7 linked regions of the Oryctolagus cuniculus genome follow. The protein of the gene in region 7 interacts with the protein of the main gene of each other region in a biochemical or structural test. Links are inferred from orthologs where the notes say so. Each region holds a gene or a part of one and is shown on either strand. Other genes may lie near its edges. The genes, in order: TAL1, KLF16, ZBTB16, MXD1, SMARCA2, SMARCA4 and SIN3A.

Region 1 (4,144 bases), on a different chromosome or scaffold from region 7:
CCCCACCCAATCCCAGACTGGGCCCGCTCGCTGCGGGAGTCTTGCCCACCCCAGGCGGAGACCCAAGCCTTGCCCCCCCCCCCAAACTTACCTGGGGCATATTTAGAGAGACTGGCCCCTCTAAATAGGGTCCCTACTCCTCCACCAGAGAGGGGCGGTGGCTGAGGTCGCGACTGTGGATGGAGGCGTCCTCGCTTTCCTGGTCGCTCCCTAAGAGGCCAACAGTTAGGCTGCCGTGTGGTCCTGGGCGGACTGCCGCGCCCAAAGCGAGTTTCCAGGAAAGATGGGGGTGGAGAGAAAGAGGGAGGGCGAGAGGGAGGGAGAGAGAGAAATGGGGGTCAGTGGCTGGGAATTACCTCACGTCCCCCACCCCCCAACCCGTCCAGGGATTCGCAAAGAGCCTTCCACCCCCAACCTGCAGGTGTCTGGAGCCTTCCCCGTGAAAAGAGACCCCTCCGCCTGACCAATCAGCTACAACGATTTAGTGCGACCACTCCCGGCAGCGCGCCCGGAACCGGGCCGCCTCGGAGCCCTCCACCAGGGACGGGCCTGCCTCAGCGCGGCCCAGCTTGTTTTCTAAGCGCGGACGCGTCTATGCGGTTTGCTCGGCCACCCAGGCCAGGCCCGAGCTGCCGCCACAGTCGCAAGGGACAGCACCGGGGCTGAGGCGGATGGAGGGTGGGGGTGTTGGGAAAGGTTAATGCCGTCTTCAGACCCTGGTCCAGAGGGCAGAACCGCGGAGTACCTGTTCTCCAGGACCCCCAGCTCTCCACGTCCACCCCAAAACGAAACCAGAACCCAATTCCAAGGGCTGCAGTTTGCCGCAGGAATGGAGTCACAACGGGGGGGGGGGGGGGGATGAATACGCGATCTATTAGGGGCCTTTTTTTTCCTACTAAGGCGAAGAAAAAGAGGCAGAGGGGAGGAAGGAGAAGAGGAGAGGAGGAAGGAAGAAGGAGGGAAAGGGAAGAGAAGAAACACCAAGAAAAGGGGAGAGAGTCCCCACCCTCTCCACCGCCCCTACAGAACAGGTTTCGATTTTTCGGGATCTCGACGGGCAGAACCCCAAAGATCCGCCGCAGCACCGTGCGCGGCAGAAGGGCGGGCGGATAAAAACAAACCGATTCGGTCGACGAGGCTGTAGCCCAATTCCGGTCGCTTTTATTCCCCCCGCCCCCGGTGGGTTCTGTTTAATACGGTTTGCCCGCACCGTCCGGCGCCCACCGCGAGGGCCTCTTCGGTGCCGAGGCTTTGTGGAACAATTCTTCCTCGGGTTCCCATCCACCGCGGAGGCTTCCTTTCTCTTCGTCTAATCCCGTTGGGGGAGGGGAGGGGGGCCACCCATCCCCGTTGTCAGCCTGGAGGGGACGTCTGCTTTATGGTCGACTCTAGGCGCCCGTCCTCTTCTCCATTTTCCTCTCCCTACCCCGAACCCAGCAACTTAGAAAACGAAGCCGGGAAAAAAGCCCGCGTCGCTTTGTTCTCCCCGCAGAGACGCTAACGGGACCCAGCGACCGCGCTCTCGGACGATTATTTTAATTAAAACAGGCCGTTAACGAGGAAGAGGACAGCAGCGGTTACAGTAAAAGGCCAAACAAAATCGCTTCTTCCCGGGCTGGAGCAGAGCTGAGCCCGCCCTTGTACGAAGCCGACGCGACGGTCCCGCCGCGGGGAAAAATGTTCCCTCGCGAGCCGCGAAGCTTGGAGCGGGACCCCTCCCCCAGACCCCGGTGGCCGCACCCGCAACACTAACCCGAAATGGACGAAGCCCGCGTGCGGCGCGAACGCGGCCTGAAGGTGCCGGCCTGAGCGAGCGCCGCTCGGCTTCCAGCCGGGAAGAGCCGCCGCTCACCGGCGCACCCCTCTGCGCCGAGGCACCGACTGGCCCGGGCTCCGTCCGCCCATCCCCGTCTACGCGGGCTCCAGAATACATCATAATTTGGAATAAAATGTGAGAGCCCGCTCCCCGCCCCCCATGCCGCCGCGATCCCTCGCTCGCCCTCCCCCACTCCCGCCCCCAACGATTTTGCGCGGGCAGCGCCAAAGGACGCTAGCGTACGGGCGCACCCCTCGGCACGGCCGGGGCCCCACGCGACGGCCGCCAACACACATCACGAGCCGGCAGGGTCAGGCCCGCGCACGGTCCAGTGCGACACAACGAAATCACACCCGCGCTGTCGCCCACGGACGCGCAACCCGACCCAGCCGGGAGCACGCGCGCCCGGCCAAACAACGACACCTCCAGGACACGTCCGCCGCCGCCGCCGCCGCCACGCAGAGCCGCAGCCCAGCTCACACGGCCCGCGAGCGTCGGCGAGAGCTACAGTCACGACGAGGCGGAAGGGCCTCGCGGGGTCCGGGGCCACGCACCCACGGCGCACACCACGATACTCGGACACGCACCCTGCGGCGGGACGGCCTCGCTCGGGAGCAGTCGACATGGCCCACAGCGCCCACGCGCGCACTCTCCACCCCACCGCATGCACACAACACCGGGGAGAAATGAACACCAACCGCCGCCGCGCGCGTTGCTGTGCGCTGCGTAAGGAGAAGGGGAAGGAAGGAAGAGTCGGCGGCGGCGGGAGGGGCGGGGGCGTCCGTGGAAAATGCCCCCCACGGAAGGGCCGCGAGGAGCGGGAACCCCCCTCTGCGGGCGTGGACGGGGAGAAGGCGGACTGAGGAGGAACTCGGCGGGAGGCCGCAGGTCGCTCGTCCCCGGCCAAAGGCCCCAATGCTCACGTTTGTCCGCTGCGGGGGTGCGCGCGTGGCCATTTTGAGGCCGGGCCCGGGCGTGAGGCCGGCCCCGCCCGCGCCGCCCGCCGCCCCGCCCGCGCCCGCGCCCGCGCCCGCGCCCCGCGCCCCGCGCCGCCCGCGCCGGGCCCCGCCGCGCCGCGCCGCGCCGCGCTCTAATCCCGCTCACGTTCGGGGGGCCTCGTTAGCATGGGCCGAGGCGCGCGGGGCCGTGTGCGCCGCGGAGATAAGGCACTGCCGCGGGTCCGCCCGCCCCCGATAAGCGCCTCGGCCATTATGGGCCAAATGATTCATTTTAATTTGGCAAATTCACCGGGGGTGGGGGTAGGGGGGAGGAGAGGGGACCGGCTCCGGAAGGCGCCGCGTGCGGAGCTGCGCGCTGGCCGCCCGGGCAGGCCCAGCCTCCATTTCGGATCCCGAGGCCTCGCGGGAAGCCCCGCGCCCCCAGCCACAGGCCCTCGGCCTTCCACAGGCTTCCATTGAGCGACTTCCATTGAGCCCTTGGCTCTGTCCCTGACTCTGAAGACTGCGGCAACACCGAAGCTGCCACCTCCCAGTCCTCCCTCTCCAGGGTCCCGGACCCCTGCAGATCTGATCCCAGAAAGCCCCCAGCTCCTCCCTCCCCGACCCTCCAACCCCTTTAGCCCTGGTCCTTTTCTGCTTTGAAAATGGAGCTGGCAGCTCAAACCCAGAGGACTCCTGGGACGGAGTGGTGAGGCCTGAGCCCACAAACACCACTCCTGCATAGTAATTTTTTTAAGTTAGTTTATTTATTTGAAATACAGAGTTACAGAGGCAGAGAGAGACAGAAGTCTTCCATCTGCTGGTTCTTTCCCCATATGGCCGCAACGGCCAGAGCTGGGCCAATCTGAAGCCAGGAGATTCTTCCAGGTCTCCCACGTGGATACAGGGGCCCAAGGACTTGGGCCATCTTCTGCTGCCTTCCCAGGCCATAGCAGAGAGCTGGATCGGAAGTGGAGCAGCCAGGACAGGAACCGGCACCCAAATGGGATGCTGGCACTGCAGGCTGTGGCTTTCCCATTAAGCCGTAGTGCCAGCCCTACAGAGTGTTTTTAACAAGCATTTTAATCTTGCTACTGGACCCCATTCTAAGAACTGCACAGATACTAACTTATTTAATCTTCATAAACAACCCTGAGAAGGGGTTATTATTTTCAATTGCGTTCTGTCATCTTTGTATCATCCTTAATTCCAGATAAGGAGCCTGAGGCACAGAGAGAAAAAGCACCTTTCCCAGTGTCGGAGACCTAGTGAGCCGTGGAACCTGGTTTCCAGGAAATTCGGCAAGAGGTCTATTCTGTGTTCAGCTGATGAAGCGGGGCAGCCAGAACCTAGGCTGGGCTGGGGGATTGCACTGCCCTTACGGTGGGAA
Region 2 (4,148 bases), on a different chromosome or scaffold from region 7:
CCGCGCCCCTCCCCCACCCTAATCCCTCCTCTGTAACCGGATTTTCGCCTTGGTCGGAGCCGGGCCTGCCTCCCCAGCCTCCACTCCCAGGATTAGTGCAGCCCTCACCTTGCGCCCCAGGGCCCCCCACCCCCAGCCCGGGAGCCTCCGCCCCCAGGAAGCCCTCTCCTCTCATCAGCGCCTGGCACACAGTAGGTGCTCACCTACTCAGGCCTCGGCACACAGGGCTTCAACATAAATGGTGGGCTACAGCCGGGGGTGACGCTGGGGGCCTGGCTGCTTGTCCCACCTGGGGGCTGCTCCGGACACGGAGGGGGTGGGGGCCAGGGGCACCGTGTGGAGCGCAGGACAGCCCCAGGCGGTGAGGAGTGGGGACCAGAGACCCCTCCCACCGGGGACTCGGCTCAGGGGGGCTGGGAGAGCCGCCCGCCCGCCCCGGGGGTGCAGGAGCTGGTGGCTGGCAGCCTCTCTCCGCCCCCGCCCCCGCGCCCTGCTCCGTATCCATGGCAACGGCGTCAACATCTCCCATAGCTTCCAAAGTCCTTCCCGGCTCCACGCAGCTCTCTGGCAGGGCTGGGGGCTGCGGGCCAGGTGCAGGGGGGCTGCTACCCTGCACTTCTCCTGCCTCTCCTGCCCCTTCCAGGGCCACGGGGGCGCCACGTTTCCCGTCAGCCAGGCCCTCGCGCACAGCCCCAGGCTGCCGGCCGGGGATCCCGCAGAAGAGGGGGCAGGTCCCCAGGAAGGGGGGGCAGGGGCAGGACCCTCTCCCAGGTCAAGGCCCCCCGCCCGGGGCGGCTCTGCAGCCAGCCGGTGCCTCATGACGGCTCCTCACCAGATCTTTCGCACACCGTGGACGCCAGCATGCTGGTCCCGGGGGTCTCAGGTGCAGGGTGGGGGAGCCGGGAGCCCCCAACCCCTTCCACCAAAAGCGGCCTGCTCCCCGGACCCGCTCAGTGACCCCAGGGGCGTCCAGGGGACCCTGGCGTCACACAGCACCACAGGTGGTCCTGAGGCTGTTGCTGGGAGGGGGGCTCGGGGACAGGACCCCCACGCCTCGGTTTCTCGTCCACCCGTGGGAGGATGACTGGCCTCTCCCTCCACCCAAGCCAGGCAGAGACAAGGCTGGGCAAGCAGGCTGGGGCCAGCTCACGACCTCCACCCTGGGAACCCCCGGGCCTGCCTGCCCTCAGCCCAGGCTCACCCCCAACCAGCCAGGGCCCGGGAGCCCTCCGCGGGGGACCCCAAACGTCACCCACAGAAGTGCAGACCCCTGCCTCCCACACTCAGGATGCCCCCCACAGAGAGAGTGACGGGGGCTCCTGGCATGAACCAGAGACCCCATCCCGCCTGCCCCCCCCCCCCCGCAGCCCGGGACAAAGCCCTCTCCCAGTGCCGCCCCCACCACCCCCTCCCACCCCCACTGTAGAGTCTACACAGACAGGGGCGCGCACCCCCTACCCCCACGCCCTCGCCCACGGCCTCCGATGCCCACCTGCCCAGGGCCCAGTCCCGAGGTGGGGGGGGTACCCAACAACTCCCAGCGCGGGATTCTTAGCGTCCCCGCGACCCCCGGGGAAGCCTGCCAGGGGCCCAGTGCCGCCTGACCGCTGGCCCCTCCAGCCGGGCCACCGCCTGGACCCCGCGACAGGTGAGTGGGTGTGCGGGGGCAGCACGGGGGCAGAGCGGAGGGGTCTGGTCCCCTCCCAGGAGCCCCTCTCCAAGGCCCTCTCCCTCCCGAGGCGCGCGGCTCCCAGCCCCGCCTCCCACCCCGGTCGAGCACAGAAGAAGGGAGAGACGGCGTGCGGGGCACCCCCACCCTGGCCCGGCGCCAGCGCCCTCCCGGGAGACCCCGCGCCGTCTCCCCCTCCTCGGATAAGGAAACTGAGGCCGGATGCTCCGACCGCGGCGCCCACCGCCCAGGGCGCAGGGCGAAAGGGAACGAGAAAGAAGCCAGGCCAGGCTCCCCGGGGGGCTGCGCGGTCCGGCCGGCTGCCCCGACCCCGGCCGCCGCGGCCGCCCTCCGCCGGCCGCCCGACCGCGTGGCCGCCACGCCCCCCGGCGCGCCCCACCCACCGGGGCCCCGCCCTCCCGGCCGGCGCGGCGGCGGCGGCGGCGGCGGCGGCCCGGGCGCGCCCCCTCCCCGCCCCCCACGCGCCACGCAGTTTCGGGGTCCCGACGGGGGAGGGGGCGACCGAGGGCCCCGGCGCGGCTCACCTGTGTGCGTCCTCAGGTGCGACTTCAGGTGCGAGGACTTGTAGTAGGCTTTGGCGCAGCCCGGGAAGGGGCAGCGGTGGCTCTTGGCGGCGGCGGGCGCGGCGCCGGGGGCGCGGCCGGAGCCCGGGGACGAGGCGGCCGAGGAGGAGGAGGCGGGAGAGGCGCCCCCCGGGGCGGCCCCGGGCCCGCCGCGCAGGTCGGCCAGGATGCTGGCGGCCAGCAGGTGGGGCGCGGCGGCCGGGGCGCCGGGGGCCGGCGGCGGGGGCGCCGGGGCCCCGGGCGGGGCGGCCTCGCGGCGCGCGGCGCGCACCTCCAGGCCGGCGGCGGGGCCCGCGCCCTCGGGGCCGGGCCGCCCGCGGTGCACCACGGCGCCCGAGGAGATGGCCATGAGCACGTCGGCCGCGAAGTAGTCCACGCACGCCACGGCCGCCGACATGCCGGGCGCAGGAGGAGGCAGCGGCGCCCGTCCGGCCGGCGGCGGCTGCTCGAGTGCGGGAGGCGGAGGCGGAGGAGGAGGAGGCCCGGCGCGCGCCGCCGCCGCCGCCGCCCGCGCTCGGCCCGCCCCGCCCCGCCTGACGCGCCCTGACGCACCGGAGCCCGCGGGGGCGGCCGCGGCCCGCCCCGCCCGGAGGACGCCCCCTCGGGGCGCCGCGGCCACGCCCCCCGCGCGGCGCGCCCTCCACCACCAGCCCGCGGGCCGCGCGCGGCCGGCGGGGGCGGGGCCGGCGGGGGAGCCCGGCCCGGGCGCGCCCACCCCGGCGCTGGAGAGCGCGGGGTCCCCACGCGCGCGCGCGCGCGCTCAATCGTTTCTCCGGCGGCCCCCGCCCCACGCGGGAGGAGCGCGCTGCCGGCGCGCCCCCCTCTCCTCCGCCCGCCCGGATCGCCCCGCCCCGGCCCCAGCCTCCCCGCGGGCGCGCCCACCCCGCGCCGGAGCGCGCCACCGGCGGGAGCCCGCCCCCAGCCCGGACGCTTCCACCTTGGCCCCGGGCGCGCCCCCGCTCGCCATGGGAGGAGGGCTGCGATCCCCACGTGGCCGGAGTGGGGGGTGCGGAAGCGGCCGGCCCCGCCCCCAGGCCACGTGCGCGACCCTCCCCCCCACCTTTTCCCCGGCCTGGGGCCCCGCTTCGGCCCCGCACCCGCCGCCACGCCCGAAACCCCGCGCGGCACCGGCTGCCCCGCGGCGGGACCCGGCGGGGTGGGGGCCCGACCCTCCCGCCCGCCCGCTCGGCCGCGCCATTGCTGGTTCCTGTTTTTGCGCCCGGCTCTGGAGTGGCTCGTGCTTGTCCCACGGGGGTGGGGCGGCCGGGGTTCGCCGGGTGGGGGGCGCCGGGAGGCCCGCGGCGCGGGGCCGGGCTCCGGGCGGCGAGGCAAAGCTTGGGCGCCCTGATGGGACTCTGGTCCCGAGCCAGGACCCTCGCTCGGGGCGCGGGCCAGCGCCCCCCAGGACGCCCAGCGCGTGCTGTTGAGCTTTGGGGAGGACTTCAGGGGTCGCAGACGGCCGCGGTCACCCAGAGTCTAGGCCCGGGCTGTGAGCGAGGAAGCGGGCGACCACGCTCCCGCCCTCCCCGGCTCCCGCCGGTCAGGAAGGCCGTGCAGTGGCCGGCGCGGCCTCCAGGGGGCGGAGCTGCCCCGACTGGGTGTGGACAGCGGCCCTGGCCCTGGTCCCATCCTGGGGCGCCCCCTCCGCCCCGCCCGCCTGCCACCCCCGCCAGCTGCCCTCTGTCTGGCCACTGGCACACCTGGCCATGCCCGCTGGCCTCCCTTAGGAGGCCTGGCCCTCGGGAAGCTGCGACGGGGCCACTGGGACGCACGTGCCCCTTGGCCAGGCCCAGCAGAGCCCATCCGCAGGACCATGGCTGCTGGGCCTCCTGTGTGCGCGGGTGAACCATCGCGGGCCCGGCAAACCGTCCCGCCCTCGGTCAGGGGCCTGGGGG
Region 3 (4,036 bases), on a different chromosome or scaffold from region 7:
CTCTGTGAGTTCGGATCAGTTCCAATATGCAAACTCTGCCCCCAGGTCTTCCCCTTTTTGTCTCTGTCCGGCTTCTGCTACCTTCCATCACATCACAGTTCTAGGGCCGGCCCAGTGCCAGGGATTCCACGCTAGTTCTGCGGAAAACCTTTGGCCCACCCGCCAGGCAAGGAGGGAACACTCAGATTCAGTGACTGACGCCTGGCGCTGCTAAAGCCGCCTGACGTCGCGGACTGACTGCACTGAGACCCCTGGATGGCGCTCTTGCCGCCCCCATCCTCCTAGCGTCTGGACTCCAGCCGGAGGCCTGCACGGCGCTGGGAAGAGCGCTTCCCACCTTTTGCCCCGCGCCTCCGGCTGGCTCCATAAAAAAGAGGGGGAAGGGAGCTTTCCGCAGCTCGGGGAAGGCCGGTTTCCTACGGTGGCTGCTCCCGGGGGTTAGCGGTGCGAACTCTGCCCTCCGGAGTGCGTGCGGAGGGGTAATGGGGGGGGGGGGGGCTAGGGAGCCCGGGAGGAGGACGCCCTGCAGGGCGGTCTCGAGCGTTTCCAAGCTGCCACCGGCCCCGAAGACTGCGCTGAGCAGTCCGTCTAGGGGGTAGAGGGACTGAGCCGAAGAAGAAAAAGTTTCTCTCCGGTCTCGACCTCAGCCTCCAGTGACCGCGGCTGCCAAAACGGGGCGCCCCCATGGACAGCACATCCTCGGGAACCCCTGGCACCTAGTTCAGTAGAACCCGCTGGCTCTGCGCCCCGAGACTTCTTGCCCCCAGATGCTCATGCCCGGCGGCGCGCGGGGTCCGAGGGGCTGAAGGCGCTTGGGCGTGGGCTGGGCACTTTGGCAAACAGGGGTCCTGAGAGGCGGGCGCAAAGCGGGAGAAAAAGTGAAAGGCTAGGGGGCAAACGCTGGAGCCCAGCACAAAACCCCGCGCTTGGAGCGCCGGAGTGGGAGAAACAAATCCGCGCCCAGTGGCAATGAAAAAGCTGCGAGTGAGGTGGGAGCTGCCCCTGGCCCCCCAGGGCCCGCACGGAGCGTTGCGAGCCCCCGCCCGGCCTCCCCATCACCGGCCCTGGCGTGCTCCCGGCTGGGCCGGAGCGCGGCGGCCGCGGCGCCCCAGCAGCAGCTAGGTGTCAGGCGAAGCCCGGGGCGCCGAGCGCCGCGCAGGCAGAGCGGGTGGGGCGGGGAGCGCGCACGGGCTGGGCCGGCGCGGGGGGTGGGCGGGCTGAGCCCGGGGACAGCGCGGGAGGGGGAGGAGGGGGCAGCTGTGGGCAGGGAGCCGGGCTCGGCCGCCAGCACTAAAGATGGAGAGGCGCCGGGGCCTCGCAGGGGAGGGGGCTCGGCGTTGACGTGAGACGCGGCGGAGGCGCCGCAGCCGGTGGTGATTTGCTAACCTCACAGCACACAGGAGTTGAGGGCGATGAGAGCGGGTACTGCGAACTGCCGGGCGATGCCGCCGCTGCCGCCGTGAACCCGAGAGCAACAGTTCCTCCAGCAACACCCCTCCCCGACGCAGGCACACACCCCCCGGCAGGCCCGCACGCCCACCCCACGGCGCCCGGCTCGGCAGCGGTGAGTGGGGGCCCGGGGAGGGGCGCACCGCCCAGCCAGCGCCGCGCGCCCGGGCGCCCCGGGGCCGGAGAGGTCGGGGGGGTGGCGCGTCCGCTCGGGCCACTCGGCCGCTGCGCTTGGACCTTATTTCATCCCGCGTGTTCCTTTCCTGCGCTGCAGCCGCCGCCGCCACCGGTTGGGGTCAGCTCCAAGAGGGGAGCCCCGGCTGTCAGCTTGGGCGCAGCTGCCTCCCCAGCCTTTCCTCCGCAGGGCACGGTCCGGGTGAGAGGCGGGGAGCTGGGGCGCGAGCATAGGGTCGGGGATCGCGAGGCTTTATACAGCCAGGGGCCGGTGGGGGCTCATATGTATGCGGACGGCTGCGCGGGCGTGAGCGAGGCTTGTGGCTTATTTATTTGTTTATTTGCCGGCCGGCTGGGAAGCTAGACTGAGAGGGGCTGGCGAGTGGATCTGGGGCCGAGGCGAGCAGGATTGGGACACGTTTGGATTTTGTTTTCTCTTTGAAAAATCCTAGTGGGCCCTTCTTTCTTGATTGGACTTGATCCCCCATTTTTTGGGGGGGGTAGGGTGGAGAGGGAGAGAAGCTCCGAGGGGCGCCAGTGCTCCGGGCCCTCCTCGGCTCTCGGCAGGATTGGCCGTGGCGCCGGAGCTCGCCGTGCGCTCCCGGCCGCGCTCGGTGGGCGCCCCGGCTCTGCACCTGATGCGTGCGGGATGCCTTTGCCACCACGGCGCGCCAGCGGCCGGCTCTCGCAGCCCCTGGCGCACTCCCGCACGCGCCCTAAACGCGCAGATCCTGCCGGCCTGCGACCCACTGAAACGCACAGACGCGCTCCGCACCGGCTAGCTCGCCGCCTCCCCGGGTCGCTCGCCACGTCCCCGGGCCCGGCACGCCCGGCGGCTGCTGCCGCTGGCCCGAAACCGGGAACCTTGCTCATTGCTCCCCGGGGGTCACGGCCCTGGGTCGGAGCCGGGGGAGCCCGGAGATCCCCTTATCTCCCCTTCTCGCACGAGTCGCTGCAGGGCTTTTGTGCTGCCCCTTCGCGGCGGGCCGGGTCCGTCTCCCAGCCCGCCGGACTCGTCGCCTTTCGCCTGCTCTCTTTCGTTTTCCCTCTCCCTAGCTCGGCTTCTTTCCTTTCAGGCGGCTGACTCCCCAGGAAAAGTTGCTTCCCCAAGTTTGCCGAACTCGTCTCCAAGTCTCGGCGGGGGTCTCTGGGAGCTCGGGGCGTGTGCGCGCGTGCTCGGTGCCCGCAGCTCGGGCGGCTGAGTGCTGGCTTTCCCCCGAGCCGCGGGAGTGGAGCCGCAGCCTGCGCCGGCCGCATCGAGGGCGCCGAGCGGCGGGTCAGGCGGGGGGACGACTGACCCAGGGCACCGTGGTCTCCCTCTGGAGCTACAGGGTTGGTTTGGAGGAAAGGGGCACTTCCATTCTCTTCGGTTGCCTCCTCCTGTTTTCCTGCAACTCCCGGGTCTGCAGGAAAGCACAGGGCAGCGAGGCGTGCGTGGATGGCCGTCCCACTCTCTGTGGCCACGGTCCCCACCCTGGGCTGGGCAGCTAAAGTGTCTTGACCAGCCAACCCCGTTAACCCTTTCTTTCTGCTTGAGCTAGGTGCCTTAGGAGCCAGTAGGGCTGCTTTTGGGCGTGGTGAGGAGCAGTGTTTGAGGAGTGAGGCGCGCGGGCTCTGCTCGCCGCCGTCACGCACTGCTGCGATATCTGCAGCCAGGGAGAAGTTGGGAGGGGCCTGGCCGGCCAAGGCTTCCTGGTACTCCTTGAACGGGGTGCGGAGTCCCGACCAGGCTCTGGGAGAGACCTTTGTCTCCCAGCCCTGTCCTCACACCATGGATGCTGGTGCCAGTGTCACTTGCAGCACCTCTGAGACTGGCCAGCATCAGTTGCTGCTCCTGGTCACAGGACTTGCCAACTCCTGGGAGCCTCTGGGAGACTTGGAGGCCACGCCCAGCCCAGCCTGGGCACCGCTGGCTGTTGGAAAGCCCTTTCTTATGATTACTCTTTGTAACTGCCTGGCCCATTGGCCTTCAGATTTTTGCCGTTCCTGTCCCTGAGCACTTGTGGACAGGAGGGTGAGTGTGGGCTCTTGAGTTAATGCTGTCCCTCTTGGCTGGCGGGCACACAGTGACACAGAGTCCAGATTGGGGGCTCCATATGCTGTCACTTTAAGGTCGCTGTGGATGGAAGTGACCCAAGTGAGTGTGTGCAGGTTACATGAGTGTTGCTGTGAGCCTAGAAGGAGCTCAGGGCCGGGGGCAGCCTGGAGCAGGGGACAGAGGCCCGGGAAGGTAACAGCCAATGGTGAGAGGGCGGGCTCGGGGAGGACAGCCCATAGCCTGGAGGTGTCTGTGGGCCACAACTGCAGCCTGCCAGTCCCTCATTGCACTTTTGCTTGGTTCCTGGGGCTGCCAGAGTGGGGCAGGGTTTAAAAAAGGCATTGTATCGGAGGTGAGGTTACAGGAGGCGGAGGG
Region 4 (3,500 bases), on a different chromosome or scaffold from region 7:
ATGTACATATACATGTGCTCTGTTTTAGCTTAAATAAAAATGCTACAAAGTGGGAGACCACTTAAGGGAGAAATCATAACCAAAAAGAAAAATCAGCCTTTTAAACTATCAGCCCAAAAGCCTCCAGAAAGAAGTTTCTGGGTGTATCCAAAAATAATCAAGAAGGAGAGGGATTCTAGCAACCCCGTCCCGTCCCCTCCTGTTCACCTGCAACACAGAGAGTAGAAATGCGGACTTTCTCTTTCACTGATGATGGCCACCAGCTCAGCTAGTGCCAAAGCTCAGTTATTGCTGAAAGTTAAATAGGAAAATAGATTAGCATTGGACCAAATGTCACTTATGGGGGGGGGGGGGAGAGGCATAATCACTTTGTGTTAAGTGGGAAATGGAGATCTCATTTATCTCTGAGGTAGGAAAAAAAAAAGTTCCAGAGACAAGTAGCACTGACAAACTTTGAGGGGAAAATGTGCCTTGAGACAGCGGTACACAGCAAGGTCCCATGAACACTGCACAAAAACACATGGTGCCGTTTTGTTTGTGAGAACAGTGGTGGAACCTTCCTCGGCTGTGCGAGCCCAGAGACACGCTGTCGAGTGGGAAATACTGCTCCCATCCAGGGCGGCGGCGACCGGGGTGCGCGTGGGCAGGTGGCAGGGCTGTTTGCCGGAGGTGCTCCTGACTTCCTCGCGGGGGCGAGGCCCACGGCGAAGAGCTCTCGAAGCTTCCTTTGGAGTTCTGAGGTCAGGATCTCCACTTGGAAAGCTGGTTTCCTTCAGTCTCCTAAGCACAAGACACACTCAGACACTTCTCCCAGGCAGGTAACACAGTAAGCCAGAGAACTCGGCAGAAAAGTCTGGTGGACGACACGGGACAGGAGAGGAGACGGGGACTTGCTGAGATGCGACAGTTGCTCGCTCGGTCTAAAGAGTCTCGGGTGCTTCAGACTGACTGGAATGTACAGTCTCTCAGAGACGGATTGTGATGGAGAGAACGAGAAGCTAGCGGGTGCCATCCGATGCCCACAGGCCTAAGCACTTCCTTGGAAACTGTGACCCAGCTGACTGTGTAGAGGTGGGGTACACGGACGTTGACGTGCGAGGGCGAGGCGGGCAGGTCCAGTACACTACCTAATCAGAGCCGACAGGGAGAACCATCCAGGGGGCGGCCGGCACACGCGCCCTCAGAGCCCGAGACACACGTCCTGGCTGTCCTGCAGCTTTATTCTCTTGACGCTGGCGCTGGAGTAGCCCTCGTCACTGCCCAGGCTCTGCGTGCTGGCCCGCTCGTCAGAATCACTCACGCTGCTGCTGCTCCAGTCCAGGTCGCCCGTGAGATAGTCTGTGCTCTCCACGTCTACATCGATCTCCTCTGCAGACGGGGCGGGGGGAGGGGAGAGGGGGGAGGAGATGGGGGGACACACACACACACACACACCCGTCAGTGAGGGCGCCTACAGAGCTCACAGGCTGACGGTCAGACCTCCCCCAGCTGAACCCTTCTTGGCCGCTGCTACCTAACGCTAAGGGGACAGAGAGATGCCCTCGGGTGGGCAGACACGGCCCTCAGCGCCCCACCCGAGAGCAGCGGGAGGCGCACGGAGGGGCCGGGTGGCTCACCCCTGTCGGAGTCGGAGCGCTCCGAGGAGACGGTGGAGCCGATGCTGTCCATGCGGACCCTCTCAATGCCCAGCTTCTCCAGCTGCCTCCTCAGGTGCCGCTGCTCCCGCTGCAGCTGGTCGATTTGGTGGACGGCTCTTCTGTCACAGTCTTCAAGTTTCTGCAAGTCAAAGGGCCGAGTCCTAAGCTGCCATGCCGCACCTTCCCGCCCTGCAGGGAAACATGCTGGTGTCCTCAGAAGCCGTTTGCTGTGGCAGGAAGTTGGCTGGCCTAACCTCTGCAGCACTGCCGTGGCTGTGGGCACGCGCCCTCACAGCGATTCTGGGTGAGCTCTGACACTCTGGCCCCTGCCACCCCTCGGTTTGGGTATGGAAAAGACTGCAGGCCGGAGTCTCCAGCCTGGTCTTCATACCCATCGCCTGAACACCCAAGCTCTGGGAACACCCCAGCTTCACCAGATGGAAGCTTGAGGAACACCCATCCGTTCAAAATTAAGGAGGTTCCTTTTCTCTCGGAATTGTCCTCAATGCAGGCTACCAACCACAATTCAGTGATATGTGTGCTGGACAGCGACGTGGCGGTGGCTCTCAGGAGTGTGGGCACAACTCGCCTTATCAGTGCCAGTCACCTGGGCACTGAGGGTCAACCCTGAGCTGGATTCTCTGGGAGGGCAGGGGCTGGACAGAGCACAAAACCCAGGCCGCTTCCCTCGTGGAATCTACAGGCAACTCAACAGACACACAAACCACCACCAAATGCCAACTGTGGCAAGTGCTGGGACAGAGATACCCAGACATGACCACCTGTCACAGAGAGAAGCAGACTGAGTCAGGAAGGCTTCTCTGAGCTCATGAGACTCGTGCTGAGATCTGGAGGGTGGGTAGTGGACAGTTAACAAGGTGGAGGAGACAGGGAAAGCATACTGACCAGAGGCACTGGCACGCACAAAGGCCCTGTGGTAGAAGCACACGAGTGCAAGAGTCTGAAAGATGGGCTGGACAGAGGGGAGTGTGGGGACAAGATGATGCTGCAGGTGAGGGCCAGGTCAGGCAGAGCCTGGGGCAGGCCTGGTGCCAGTTTGTCCTGAGCCACAGAAGAGCTGTAACTGGGCAAGGGGTTAATTTGAGCTTTAGAAGGAAGGACCTAAGGAGAGCAGATAGGAAGGGAAAGAGGGAAGGGAGACAGCTGAGGAACTGCACGCAGTGGACGGTGCTAGGTGAAGGTGGAAGCCGACCAGGGTGTGAAATATGGAGGCCTGGACGTGGCTCAGGTGTGGTGGCTAAGGAACACGAGCTACCGAGAACGCCGAGTTTCTGGGTGTGCAACTGGATGGCGAGCTGGCTGGATCCTTCATTCCTGGAGTGTGGGGTTGAGAGATACTCGGATGGTTTTGGACATGCTGCATCTGCGGTGTCTTTGGTTCATCTAAGAGGTGGGTTGGAGGAGCTCAGGGGAGAGGACTGTCCTGGAGATAGTCTGTCCCTCACAACAACAGAAACACCCTACTGGAGAGAGAAGCTAATGAGGCACCCCAGCATAAAGCGGCACTTACCTTTATGTGCAATTTGGCTTTTGTTAATAAACTCAACGTAGTGTGTCGATTTGATTCGGGCCCAAGTGGCACCAGCCCCTTCAGCTTCTCCAGGCACAAGCGAAGATGAGCCCGTCTAGAAAAACAAGACCGCAGTAGCATCTGAGAGTTTCACAGTGGGCCAGCAGGCAACCCGGGAGGAATGAGTCCTAAACGAAATGAGGCCCAGGCCCAGGGATGGCAAATACTGCCAATGACCTCTCGCCAAATAAAGGCCTTGTGAACCCAGACAGCTCTGGTGAAAACCAAAGGGAAGTGAACTCCAGTGGTATTCTAAGTTACGTCCATCTGTG
Region 5 (3,328 bases), on a different chromosome or scaffold from region 7:
TACAAGGGGGTCTTTTCAGGTGGTACAAACATTGAGGAAGGTAGGCATGAGCTGATGGGTACACTCATCCCACATATGTGAAATATAACCAGCTACAAAGATCCTATTGGGATAAGTACATAAGTAATTCAGGTATAGGAGAGGTCTTCAGAAAGTGTGCAGAAAAATGCATGCATTTCACAGATTTTTATCCTTTAATGCCTTGTTCCATGAACTGGCTGAAGCACCTTTGTCACACATTCCCCACCGCCCTAGAAATAATAGGCTGAGGGAGAGGAGTGTTTACTCTCTTACTTCCTGTGGTAAAAGTATTATTCAACTATTGGTATTTTCCTTCTGCTTCCATCTGCTAGAGTGATCTGCACGCATCCTCTGCAGCCTTCCCCCCATTAAATGCATCCTGAACACTTCCCTGAAATAGGAAAGGCGCTTCCCATTCCCGCCGTCTGCCTGCAGGAGCCCGGAAAGAAGGACCCTGCCTGGGAGGCCACCTTCCCTCGCGTGGCCTGTGTACTGTGACAGCGTTCATCTGCCAAAGAGAGGCGTGCGTGTGTGGGGCCACCGACTGGACAGGACGGCAGGAGCTGGGAAGTTCCTAGGCACCCTGACCATGTGGCCAGTCATCGGTGGCTGCTCGCCTCGTCACTGGTTCGTGAAAAGCATTGCTGCGTGTCTCCTCACTGATGGCTCTTTCGTTTGTTCTTGCATAGCGAAATCGGTTAAGGTGAAAATCAAGCTCAATAAAAAAGATGAGAAAAGCCGAGACAAAGGAAAAGGGAAGAAAAGGCCAAATCGAGGAAAAGCCAAGCCTGTCGTGAGCGACTTTGACAGCGACGAGGAGCAGGATGAGAACGTGAGTGCAGTGCTGGCATCTTGCTCCCTCTCACCTGTGGGTGACAAAGTCGATGGGCGAGATGCCATCCCTGAAGGACGGGAACACAGCGGCAGGACTTCGACCACAGATCTGGGGGCTCTGTGCATTGCTTCAGTAGTCTGCAGAAAATAAAGGGGAGAAGAGAACTCGATTTTGTAGTTTTTCATCTTAGAAATTGAGTTTTCTCCATGGCCGATTCATATTTTGTATATCACGCCTGTCGTGCTGCCTTGTATATAGTAGATGGAAGAATGAGAAAAGGTGTTGGGATGTCGGAGTTTTGGACTTGAGTTGCTCAGTAAGGTGCCATATGAAAACCCAAATGACTTTTTAAGCACCTAAGGGTTTTTTTTTTTTTTAATATTTGAAAAACCTCAGGGAGCATTGATTGAGGCCTGGAAATAGGTGCCTTCCTGTATTGGTACATATTTATCCCAGCATCGTGTGCTGCCACTCTCAAAACATGAGAGTGATTTAGCCATTTTGCTGCAGGTCATCTAGCAAGTGACCAGCAGAGCTGAAATCAGACCAAGTCTGCACAGCACAGGACAGTGGCATTTGAACCTGCCCTACCTTCCTTCTACTTTCCCTGCCAATTTTTTTTTTTCTTTCTGGGAACTCATGTCCATGTTAGTATGATGGTAAGTTTCAGAGTCATCATCTTACACCAGCCTTAACCACTGGGCACAGTTGTTTTCAAATGCATTGAAAGCCCTGTGTTTTCCTCATACCACTTACGAGTGGAGCAGACAGGAAATACATGATGTTTTTCCTTCCCATGTATCTTCCAAGGCATAGGGCTAAAAACACAGAGTACTTAGCCACAAACCTGTAAACCCAGACTGAAGGGGAGCACCCACTAGCAAAAGTGGGGGTGCGTGTGGCATTGGGATTTTAATGACAAGCCCTCTTCTTGGCCTTACTGCTGTCAGTGCCTCTTGGGTGTGCTTCTGTCTTCCTGCAGAAAGATGTGGAGCCTCCGCTGTTTCTCAAAGGCCGTTTGTTCTTTCTCTGCCTGCCCATGGCTTATTAAGGTGTCTCCTCTCGTTCCTGGGATTTTATTTCATTTCCTCTTGTTTTTCCTTCTAGGAACAGTCGGAAGCAAGCGGGACTGATGATGAATGAACAGTCTGGACCTTTTTTCCTTGGTAAAACTGACTTCCTTCCTTCCCCTCTCTGCCCAGTGAACCTACTTGTCATAGTGGCACTGGGCCCTGTCATCATCCTCATCTATAAACTAGCTTTAGGATAGTGCCAGACAAACATATGATATCATGGTGTAAAAACACACACACACAACATTTGTAACATATTGTGACCAAATGGGCCTCAAAGATTCAAAGATTAAAAACAAACCAATCTTTTGATGGAAAATATGTGGGTGGATAGTATATTTCTATGGGTGGGTCTAATTTGGTAATAGTTTGATTGTGCCTGGTTTTATCACCCGTTCAGATGAGAAGATTTTTGTCTTTTGTAGCACTGATAACCAGGAGAAGCCATTAAAAGCCACTGGTTATTTTATTTTTCATCAGGCAATTTTCCAGGTTTTTATTTGTTCGGTATTTTTTTTTACACTGTGGTACATATAAGCAACTTTAATAGGTGATAAATGTACAGTAGTCACATTTCACCTGCATAGACATTTTTCCATTTTATGCTCTATGATCTGAAAACAATGCTTTTTGAATTGTATAAGATTTATGTCTACTGTAAACATTGCTTAAATTTTTTTTTTGCTCTTGATTTCAAAAAAAGTTTTGTTGAAAACGCTATTGAATATTGCAATCTATATAGTGTACTGGATGGCTTTTTTGGTCAACCTGATCTCCTATGTTACCGATGTGTATCGTCTCCTTCTCCCTAAAGTGTACTTAATCTTTGCTTTCTTTGCACAATGTCTTTGGTTGCAAGTCATAAGCCTGAGGCAAATAAAATTCCAGTAATTTCAAAACCGTGGCGTTGGTGCTTTCCTAGTAACGAGACACCATAGCTCTCCAGTGTTGCCTGTTACTCCTGAGTCCTAAGGGAGTGACCCCCTCATGCTTGAGGGGACTGTTTCCTGAAGGGGGCCAGGGAGGCTCCTTGGAAGGGACGAGAGAGAGAGAATGAGAATTCAGGTGTGTGTGCACCACGAGGGAGGCGCCATGGGCCAGGCCACACAAAGGCACTGCTCAGCCTTTCCTCAGGCATTAAATAGGCCTAGTTCTTTCCCAGGTGCCAGCGTAGTACTGTCTGTCGGTCGCATTGCTTCAGAGCCTTCTGAAGGCACTTCCCGTTCCCATTTTACAAACAGGAATACAGCAGTGGAGACGGTGTGGGCTGAGCACACCAAAGGTGGATTCGGGAGGTAAGCTCGCTCCAGAGCCCTTTCCCACCTCCCCAGCGGTAAGGCCTGGGACAGAACTTTCGGATATGCCTCAGGTCACGTGCCAGGCACTTGCTGGCACAGTA
Region 6 (4,136 bases), on a different chromosome or scaffold from region 7:
CCACAGATGGACGCCGTTGTCAGACCCAGCCACAGCGTGGTGCGCCCCTAGCGGCACTGCGCCGTGGTTCCTCTGGGCAGGGGCGTGCGTTGGCCTGTGCGTCGGGTCACTCTGTAAGTAGTCCTCATGGCAGCCTGGTCCTGCGGATCCTCTCGGGGCTCGTGGTCAGCACCATTTTTCTTTAAGATTCTGATGTGAGTTAGGGATTTTCCACCTGCAGGTTCATTCCCAAACGGCTGGGGCTGCGCCAGGAGCTTCATCTGGGTCTCGACAAGGGTGCAGGGGGCAAAGACTTGGGCCAGCCTCCGCTGCTTTTCCAGGTGCACTGGGAGGGAGCTGGATTGAAGTGGAGCAGCCGGGACACAAACCAGCACCCGTACGGAATGCTGGCCTCCCACGGTGCAGCACAAAACTGGCCCCAGCCAATCTTCTCTCCTAACAAAGGTGCGGTTTAACTATTTTTAAACTTTCCTGCATGGCCCACGGGGGGCAGGGGCCTCAGCTGTGGCCTTCCCAGCTGCACGCTGGCAGGAAGCGGGAGTCAGAAGCCGATCCAGGACCCTTACAGGCCCCGCGACACGGAATGTGTGTCTTGACCCATGTGCCACACGGCAGCCCCGGGAGGCAGGATGTCGGTGGTCGCTGACAAGTGACCACGTAGGATTAAATTCTGAATTCTCATTTGTGTTGTTTTGAAGGTTTATTTATTTCAAAAGGGAGAAGAGACAGAGAAAGAGGTCTTCCATCCACTGCTTCACTCCCCAGATGGCCACAAAAGCCAGGGCTGGGTCACATGGGTGGCAGGGAGCTGGACGGGAAGTGGAGCAGCCGGGACTTGACCCGGCGCCACGTGGGATGCTGGTGTCAGGTGGGGGCTCCACCCTCCGCGCCACAGCACTGGCAACGCGTCCTTCCAGTCCTCACACTGACTTCTGCACCCCAGATTCACTCGGAGCCCAGACAGCAGTAGTGAGTGATCTGGGCAAGAGGTAGGGTCAGAGACGACCACAGCGAGCACCCGACACCACGCTCCGGGCTGTGCAGCGCGGACGAGCCGCGGCGCTGGGCCTGGGAGGCGCAGACCTGAGCCCGGCTCGGCCTGAGGTGGAGCCGCCCACTGCGCAGGCGCTCCGCGCCCAGAACTCAGGCCAGAGGCCACCGCGTGCGCTCTGCACAGAACCACGCTGAGCCAGGCCGCTTCTCCTCCGGGTTTTATTGACCATCACGGCTCCATCGCTCTCCGCGATCCAGCTCTAAGCGCGGTTCCCGTACCCCTCGCGGTCCGGGTCCCGCGCCCTCGCCCACTCCCTTCCATAGAAGTCTTTCTGCGTTGCTGGTTCCCCACAAACCCGGAACCTGCGACTCCCTCGGGTTCCCACACAAAGAGCTTCTTCCTCCACGTCCTCGCCGGCCCCGCCCACACGGCCGGTCACAGCCGGCTGGCGCGGGATGCGGAGACATTCACAGAGAGGAGACAGACCCCTCCCACCCGCAGCTCACTCCCCAGACACCCGCAACAGCAGGAGCTCCATCTGGGCCTCGCACACGGGCGGCCGGGGGCCAGGTCCTGGGGCCCCCACCTGCCGGCCCTGCAGAGCGCGGTGCGCGGGGGGCAGAGCGGCGCCCGCCCCAGTGCGTCCGTTCCTGCGCACGGCTCCCCGTCGGGTCCTGGGGCGCCCACGCGCGCGGCCGATGGGGGGGGGTCGCCCGGGTCAAGAACGCACAGGACGCCTCCACAGTACTTTTCCAGCTTCTATTGCAAAGTAAACACAAGACACAAGCGGGGACGTCCGTCATGCAAACAGGAGGCCAGGTCCACGCACGGGACGAGTCCGACGTCTTCGGCTCGGGGGTCGCGCTCCCGGGCACGGCGCCGCGGGGCTTCACCGCGCGGCCTCCGCCTCGCTCGCGGCGAGCCGGTCTCTCCTCGCCCGCTGCAGCACCTGCTCCTCCCACAGCGCCTGGTCCACCTGCTCCGCGGTCAGCACCACGGGCAGGTACTTCTCGTCGAACAGCCGCTCGTTGGCCTCGGAGCGCAGCTGCTGCGGCCCGACCACGCGCAGGTGCGCGGGCAGGTGCGCGAACTCCTCGTCGTTGACGTCGCAGTCGCGCATCCGAGCGCCCAGCACCCACCAGCGGCCCACGAAACCCACGTCCAGGACCCGGCCCGGGAAGTCGGCCCAGCGGGGCTGCAGGTAGCGGCAGCGAGCCTGGTAGAGGCTGGCCTGGGGGTCGCAGGGCGCCTCGTACACCAGCGAGCAGAGCCCCAGGTTCACGTGGCGCAGGCGCCCGCGGCCCCGAAGCCACAGCAGCCGCTGCACGAAGCCCTCGGCAGGCCGGCTGCGCGTGGCCGGCGCCAGCAGCAGCAGAGTCCCCGACGCGTCGAGCAGCGCCTCCTCGAATGCCGCCTCGCTGGGCGCCAGCGAGCAGCAAGCCGCCGCGCCGCCCAGCAGCGCCGCCCACGCCGCCGCTCGCCCCGGCCGCGCCCGCGCCGCCGCCGCCGCGTCCCGGCAGGCTTCGGCGTAGTCCCTGAGCAGCGCGCGGGCCCAGGCGCCTGGGAGGAAACACGCGCCATCAGAACCGTCCGGGTACGCTGCGGACACCCCCACCGCCGCCTTCCGCCCCTACTTACCCAGCCGCGCCCACACGCCGGGCTTGGCAGCCGCCGCGTCTCCCGCTTCTCGGCGTCCTCGGGCCCAAAACCTCTTCAGAGCGGTCGCCGCCATCCTCTTCCGGTCTGAGGTCCGTTCTCCGGAAGGAAACACCCGGCATCCGAAATAAAAGCTCCGGGCAGTGCCTTCTGCGCACGCGCCCACGCTACCGGACGTGGCTTCCCGCCGGAAGAGTATAGAGAACAGACCGGCGCCGGATGTTGCTGTCCGGAGCGACCCGGCTCGCTTCGAGGGTGGGCGGGCCGCGCAGGCGCACTTAGTCGCAGCCACGCCGGCCGAGGCAGCAGCAGGTGGGCAGGGCGGGGTCCACCTGTAGGGGCCAGGACGGCGAGTGTCAGCGCCCGTGGGTGCCGTTAGCCACTACGCAGTGCTTGGAGCCGGGGCACAGGCCCCGGGAAGGGAGCTCCGTCCTCAGAGCGGGATGCAGTGAGGACGCCCGGCGACCATGGCAGCGGCCGACGAGCTGGCCTTCCACGGTGAGTGCGGCCCGCGCGTGCCCGGCGCCCCCACTGCGGCCCCTGGCCGGGCAGCTTCCGGCTCAGAGTTAACCAGAATCCCAGACGGTGGTAAACCCTGACCCCGGATCTGAAACCCGACCCCCGCGTGAGACCCACCTCCATCCACCTCCACTCGTGCCCCGGGCCCGTGACGTCCCAGGACCCATCCCAGGACGAACCCTACATTGCAGCCCCGGGTTCGCCTAAGGGGACAGCTCTCTTCCCCGTGCCCCCAGACTGGCTCGGGGAAGACCACCGAGGTGGCCGCGCGGTACACCTGCGTCCCATGCGCCCTCCCCAGAGTTCGAGGAAGCCACCAATCTCCTGGCCGAGACCCCCGATGCCGCCACCACGAGCAAGAGTGACCAAGTGACCCCCCAGGGGCACGTGGCAGTGGCCATGGGCTCGAGCGGCAGCTACGGCGCCGAGGAAGAGGAGGAGGCGGAGGAGGAGGGCGGCGACAAGGCAGCGGTGAGTGGCCCAAGCGTGGCCCAAGCGCTCGTGTCCCCCAGGCTGTCGGGCAGGGACTGACGGTGTCGGGTGCAGCTCCTGCAGGAGAAGCCTCAGCCCGGATTCTGGACCTTCGGCTACTACCAGAGCTTCTTCGACGTGGACACTTGGCAGGTGAGGCTGGGGCTTGTCGCGCGCGGGGCTCAGTCCCGAGCTCTCAGGGCAAGGCCTCGGGCCGGGGAAGGGGGTGCCGGGGCAGCAAGGAGGAGGGGAGGAGTGGGCCAGCCAGGAGGTGATGAGAAACCAAGGCTGCAGAGCTGGGACCTGTTCAGGACGGCAGAGCTGGACAGAGGCGCAAAGGCCTGGGGCGGGGCTCCGGGAGGGAGCGCATCCGGAAGGGCCCAGGGCCTGGGGTGGGGACGCACCTGCTGCGCACGGTGGCGCTGCCCTGGGCAGGTGACAGGACCAGCGCTGAGCCGAGAAAGGGTCTGCAGATAAGCCCGGCCGGAAACCCAGG
Region 7 (3,500 bases):
CGTGTCGTTCTGCTTGAAGTTGATGCCCTGGTGGTCCAGAGACTTCAGGTAGTACTTCTCGTTCTGCTCTCGCCACACCTTGTTGAAGCCCCTCTGAGCTTCTCGCCACTCCTCCTCTTTCATCTTCAGCCTGCGTGGGAGGGAGGTGCACACAGCGACAAGTGGGAACTCAGGCCCAGAAGGGAGAGGCATGCCAGGCTGACTTCCAACCCAAAGATCACTAGGGCTGCTGGAGTCCTTCACAGCGAGGGGCAAATGTCATCAGACCCGGCCTGGACTGTCACGTGGCGAATCAGCCATTCAGGACGCACTCTGAGGCAGTAACTGGTGCCACAACCACAAATCTAATCTAGTTACTTCCCAAACAGCACCCCAGAAAACCCCCTGGGGCGAGGGTGCATTTCCTTCAAGAAGGGGCTCTCTGCCTCAGACAGCTGGAGAGCCTTAGGCCCTCTCCTACACTTGGACACAGTCCGCAAAGCTCCAAGCGGAGTCCCTGACTCTGAGGCTCCAGGGAAGAATGAAAACCAACACAGCACCAGAACTAAAGGCTAATCTGCACCTCAGAAGCCACACGTCAAACACTACTGGCTAGAGGAATAATCCGCAGCGTGTGCCTGCTCTTTAGGGGAAGGCTGGGGACGAAAGGTAAAATCTGGACTTGTGTGAGCTGTGCAGCAAACAATCAACGTTCGCCAGGTGATACCGAGAGGATTTAGCTCTTAGCCAAAGCGTCACAGCACGGTCAGAGTACCAATGGGGGCAGGCAACTGGCCTACATCCGCCTGCCAGGACCTGGGTTCAACATCCAGTTCTGGCCTCCAACTTCAACACAGCTTCTGCCAATGCAACCCTGGGAGGCAGTGCTGCCGGCCTGAGTGGCTGGGTCCCTAACACCTATGCAGGAGACCTGGATTGGGTTCCCAGCTCCTGGCCTCCGCCTCCGGCACTGCAGACATTCCCGAAGTGAGCCAACAGATGGGAAGTCTGTGCCTGTCTCTTTGCCTTTCAAATATTAAAAACCAATAAAGAATTAAAAAAAAAAAAAAAAAAAAAGGAATGCCATGAACTTAGAAAGGACGCTGGAGCTCAGCCCTGCCTGTGGTCTCTTGCTTGAAGCCTTAGGTGGGTACTCAGCCCTCCACACCCAACCGTGCCTGGTCTATCAGGACAAACATTCTTGGTAAAAATGGCAAACACTGTTTTCACGAGCATGTCTCAATTTTTACAAATACTCTTGTGGCACGGAAGGCGCAGCCGTGGCCTGTGATGCTGTGCCAATTCAAGTGATAGCCACCCTGCTTCTAATCCAGCTCCCTGCTAATGCACCTGGGAAGGCAGCAGATGGTCCCAGTGCTTAGGTCCCTATCACCTGTGTGGGCATTCAGAATGGAGTTCTGGGCTCTTGGCTTGGGCCTGGCCCAGCCCTGGCTATTACAGCCCTCTGGGAAATGAACTAGTGGATGGAAAACATCTATTCTTTCTTTCTCTCCCCGTCACTCTTTCAAATAAATAAAAAAATTCTACGAAGAGTGATTTTTTATTATAAAACACACCAGGATCTTCATAACAGCTAGGACTGAACGGTAGGAACATGGGTCATTTCTTTCTTGGCTCTTCCTGTATTTTTTTTTTTTTTTGACAGGCAGAGTTAGGACAGTGAGAGAGAGAGAAAGGTCTTCCTTTTCCATTGGTTCACTCCCCAAATGGCTGCTACGGCTGGCACGCTGTGCCGATCTGAAGCCAGGAGCCAGGTGCTTCCTCCTGGTCTCCTATGTGGGTGCAGGGCCCGAGCACTTGGGCCATCCTCCACTGCCTTCCCAGGCCACAGTAGAGAGCTGGACTGGAAGAGGGGCAACCGGGACAGAATCCAGCACCCCGACCGGGACTAGAACCTGGGGTGCCGGTGCCGCGGGTGGAGGATTAGCCTGGTGAGCCGCGCGCCGGCCGGCTCTCCCTGTGTTTCACAACAGCCCCACACCTGCTCTCTACAGCTGGTTACACAGAACCTTCACAACAAGGTCCCTTCTCCTGCTTGTACCCAATTTCCAACAACCAGGGCTGGGGAGACACTCAGGCCAGCAGGAGCTCTGAAGGGGAGCCTGAGCCTGGGCGCAGCACAGGACAGCAGAAGGGCCCGGCCCAGGCACCTCTTGAGGACGATGGGCACGGCGATGGAGGGGTTCTTGCGCAGGCCATCGATGATGTCGGCGGCCTTGTCGGCATATATCCTCTGCAGAGCTTTGCGGTGGATCACCTCCGACGTGCCGCCAAGCGTGTTGTCCAGGCGGAACTTGGCCTGCTCCTCGGCAGACAAGCGCGAAAGCTTTTTCTGTATTGCTTCCAAAACCCGGATGGTTGCCAGATTGGTCTCCAAAACTACATCCAGCTGGAGAGAGAAACAAAGGTGCTTAGCACCCAAACCAAAACAGAGCGGCGGGGTCAGAGACCCGGGCTGGACGCTCACCTCCTTGACCAAGCCCGGCTCTGCCACTGCAGCACAGTCCAAAGGCGGCAGCACCCGGGGTCCTCCTGAGGCTGTTCTGGACTGACTGTACGATCTACACGAAGAGTCCAGCACAGCAGCTGGCACTCAGACACGTCCAGCCAAGACGAGAACGCGGCGGTGGTCCCTCACAGCACTGTGCCCTGCTCTCCACAGCTGACCCTACAGACCAGAGGGGCACACGGGAGCCACCCTGCTGCCACTCTCCCTGAGCGTCACGCACTGCTGAAATCCCTCACCAAACACCACTCAACACAGCCTGCTCCACAGCCAGCAGTAGTCTGAGCGCTGGCGCTCACTTCTCGTGGAGTCCACATTCTATCTGGGGGTAACCACTTGAATTCTTACTCTGGCCACTTATTTTCTGGAAGAGGTCTCGCTCATCTGGCACTGCACGCCTTAGACTACCCGTCTCCAAGGTTTCACACAGAGTCTAAATGAGGGACAGAGGGTGCAGCAATGAGCAGTGTGCAAAGGTGTCCCCCACGTTTTCTTGTTCCAGGACCCCGCTCCCAATTATGGATGAGCAACGGACTGAACTCTCTAAATCTCTCACGATCGCACGGGGCCCCGTATCTAGTGTGGCAACCGAGTTGTGAGACGAGTGTAAGTCCTGGTACTGCTCCGGGTGGGAGCATTCCGGCATCTCAGATCCTTCTTAGCTCTTTCCCTCTCACAACCAGATGCGGTCATCCTCAGAGCCAAGTCCCCAGCTGGACATGAACCCCGTTTTCCCAGGTCCCTGGACTTGGAAGCTGTCTTACAGCGTCCTGACTGATACAGGAACTCACCTTCCCCAGGTCATCCCTCAAACACAGCCCACAACTCACTGCTCCTTGCCCTTGCCGGCGCCAATGGGCAAGGAGGCTGCTGCCCCCCGCTGGCAGGCACAGTGGTCGGGAGTGAGGACTCGCACCGTGCCACAAAGATGCACACTGAGCCTGGCTAACCCGGGCAGCCAAGAAAGGCCCCGCAGTCTGCTAATCCCCACGGA

Evidence for each region.
Region 1: the proteins of SIN3A (region 7) and TAL1 form a complex in vitro, tested with the Homo sapiens proteins (2 studies listed by BioGRID). The link is inferred for Oryctolagus cuniculus from reciprocal best matches to the Homo sapiens genes SIN3A and TAL1.
Region 2: the proteins of SIN3A (region 7) and KLF16 form a complex in vitro, tested with the Homo sapiens proteins (2 studies listed by BioGRID). The link is inferred for Oryctolagus cuniculus from reciprocal best matches to the Homo sapiens genes SIN3A and KLF16.
Region 3: the proteins of SIN3A (region 7) and ZBTB16 form a complex in vitro, tested with the Homo sapiens proteins (3 studies listed by BioGRID). The link is inferred for Oryctolagus cuniculus from reciprocal best matches to the Homo sapiens genes SIN3A and ZBTB16.
Region 4: the proteins of SIN3A (region 7) and MXD1 form a complex in vitro, tested with the Homo sapiens proteins (4 studies listed by BioGRID, with this or other methods). The link is inferred for Oryctolagus cuniculus from reciprocal best matches to the Homo sapiens genes SIN3A and MXD1.
Region 5: the proteins of SIN3A (region 7) and SMARCA2 form a complex in vitro, tested with the Homo sapiens proteins (2 studies listed by BioGRID). The link is inferred for Oryctolagus cuniculus from reciprocal best matches to the Homo sapiens genes SIN3A and SMARCA2.
Region 6: the proteins of SIN3A (region 7) and SMARCA4 form a complex in vitro, tested with the Homo sapiens proteins (2 studies listed by BioGRID). The link is inferred for Oryctolagus cuniculus from reciprocal best matches to the Homo sapiens genes SIN3A and SMARCA4.

What each region holds. Positions count from the first base shown.
Region 1 is NC_091438.1:125,621,153-125,625,296, reverse strand, and holds the start of TAL1 (T-cell acute lymphocytic leukemia protein 1), read right to left. Parts: upstream 2,801-4,144; 5' UTR 2,740-2,800; intron 2,734-2,739; exon of another isoform or gene 1,754-2,733; intron 253-1,753; 5' UTR 92-252; intron 1-91. UniProt on the Homo sapiens protein: Implicated in the genesis of hemopoietic malignancies. It may play an important role in hemopoietic differentiation. Serves as a positive regulator of erythroid differentiation.
Region 2 is NC_091447.1:58,917,212-58,921,359, forward strand, and holds the start of KLF16 (Krueppel-like factor 16), read right to left. Parts: upstream 2,801-4,148; 5' UTR 2,651-2,800; coding exon 2,215-2,650; intron 1-2,214. UniProt on the Homo sapiens protein: Transcription factor that binds GC and GT boxes and displaces Sp1 and Sp3 from these sequences. Modulates dopaminergic transmission in the brain.
Region 3 is NC_091432.1:105,951,504-105,955,539, forward strand, and holds the start of ZBTB16 (zinc finger and BTB domain-containing protein 16), read left to right. Parts: upstream 1-1,236; 5' UTR 1,237-1,564; intron 1,565-1,624; exon of another isoform or gene 1,625-1,825; intron 1,826-2,519; exon of another isoform or gene 2,520-3,637; intron 3,638-4,036. UniProt on the Homo sapiens protein: Acts as a transcriptional repressor. Transcriptional repression may be mediated through recruitment of histone deacetylases to target promoters. May play a role in myeloid maturation and in the development and/or maintenance of other differentiated tissues.
Region 4 is NC_091433.1:132,738,366-132,741,865, forward strand, and holds part of MXD1 (max dimerization protein 1), read right to left. Parts: intron 3,284-3,500; coding exon 3,169-3,283; intron 1,777-3,168; coding exon 1,617-1,776; intron 1,369-1,616; coding exon 1,181-1,368; 3' UTR 1-1,180. UniProt on the Homo sapiens protein: Component of a transcriptional repressor complex together with MAX. In complex with MAX binds to the core DNA sequence 5'-CAC[GA]TG-3'. Antagonizes MYC transcriptional activity by competing with MYC for MAX binding.
Region 5 is NC_091432.1:164,360,317-164,363,644, forward strand, and holds the end of SMARCA2 (probable global transcription activator SNF2L2), read left to right. Parts: intron 1-710; coding exon 711-853; intron 854-887; exon of another isoform or gene 888-993; intron 994-1,963; coding exon 1,964-1,999; 3' UTR 2,000-2,828; downstream 2,829-3,328. UniProt on the Homo sapiens protein: ATPase involved in transcriptional activation and repression of select genes by chromatin remodeling (alteration of DNA-nucleosome topology).
Region 6 is NC_091447.1:66,695,000-66,699,135, forward strand, and holds the start of SMARCA4 (transcription activator BRG1), read right to left. Parts: upstream 2,801-4,136; 5' UTR 2,773-2,800; coding exon 2,633-2,772; intron 1-2,632. Other genes in the region: protein YIPF2, read left to right, coding at 3,118-3,148, 3,471-3,640, 3,716-3,793. UniProt on the Homo sapiens protein: ATPase involved in transcriptional activation and repression of select genes by chromatin remodeling (alteration of DNA-nucleosome topology).
Region 7 is NC_091443.1:108,567,923-108,571,422, reverse strand, and holds part of SIN3A (paired amphipathic helix protein Sin3a), read right to left. Parts: intron 2,390-3,500; coding exon 2,151-2,389; intron 131-2,150; coding exon 1-130. UniProt on the Homo sapiens protein: Acts as a transcriptional repressor. Corepressor for REST. Interacts with MXI1 to repress MYC responsive genes and antagonize MYC oncogenic activities. Also interacts with MXD1-MAX heterodimers to repress transcription by tethering SIN3A to DNA.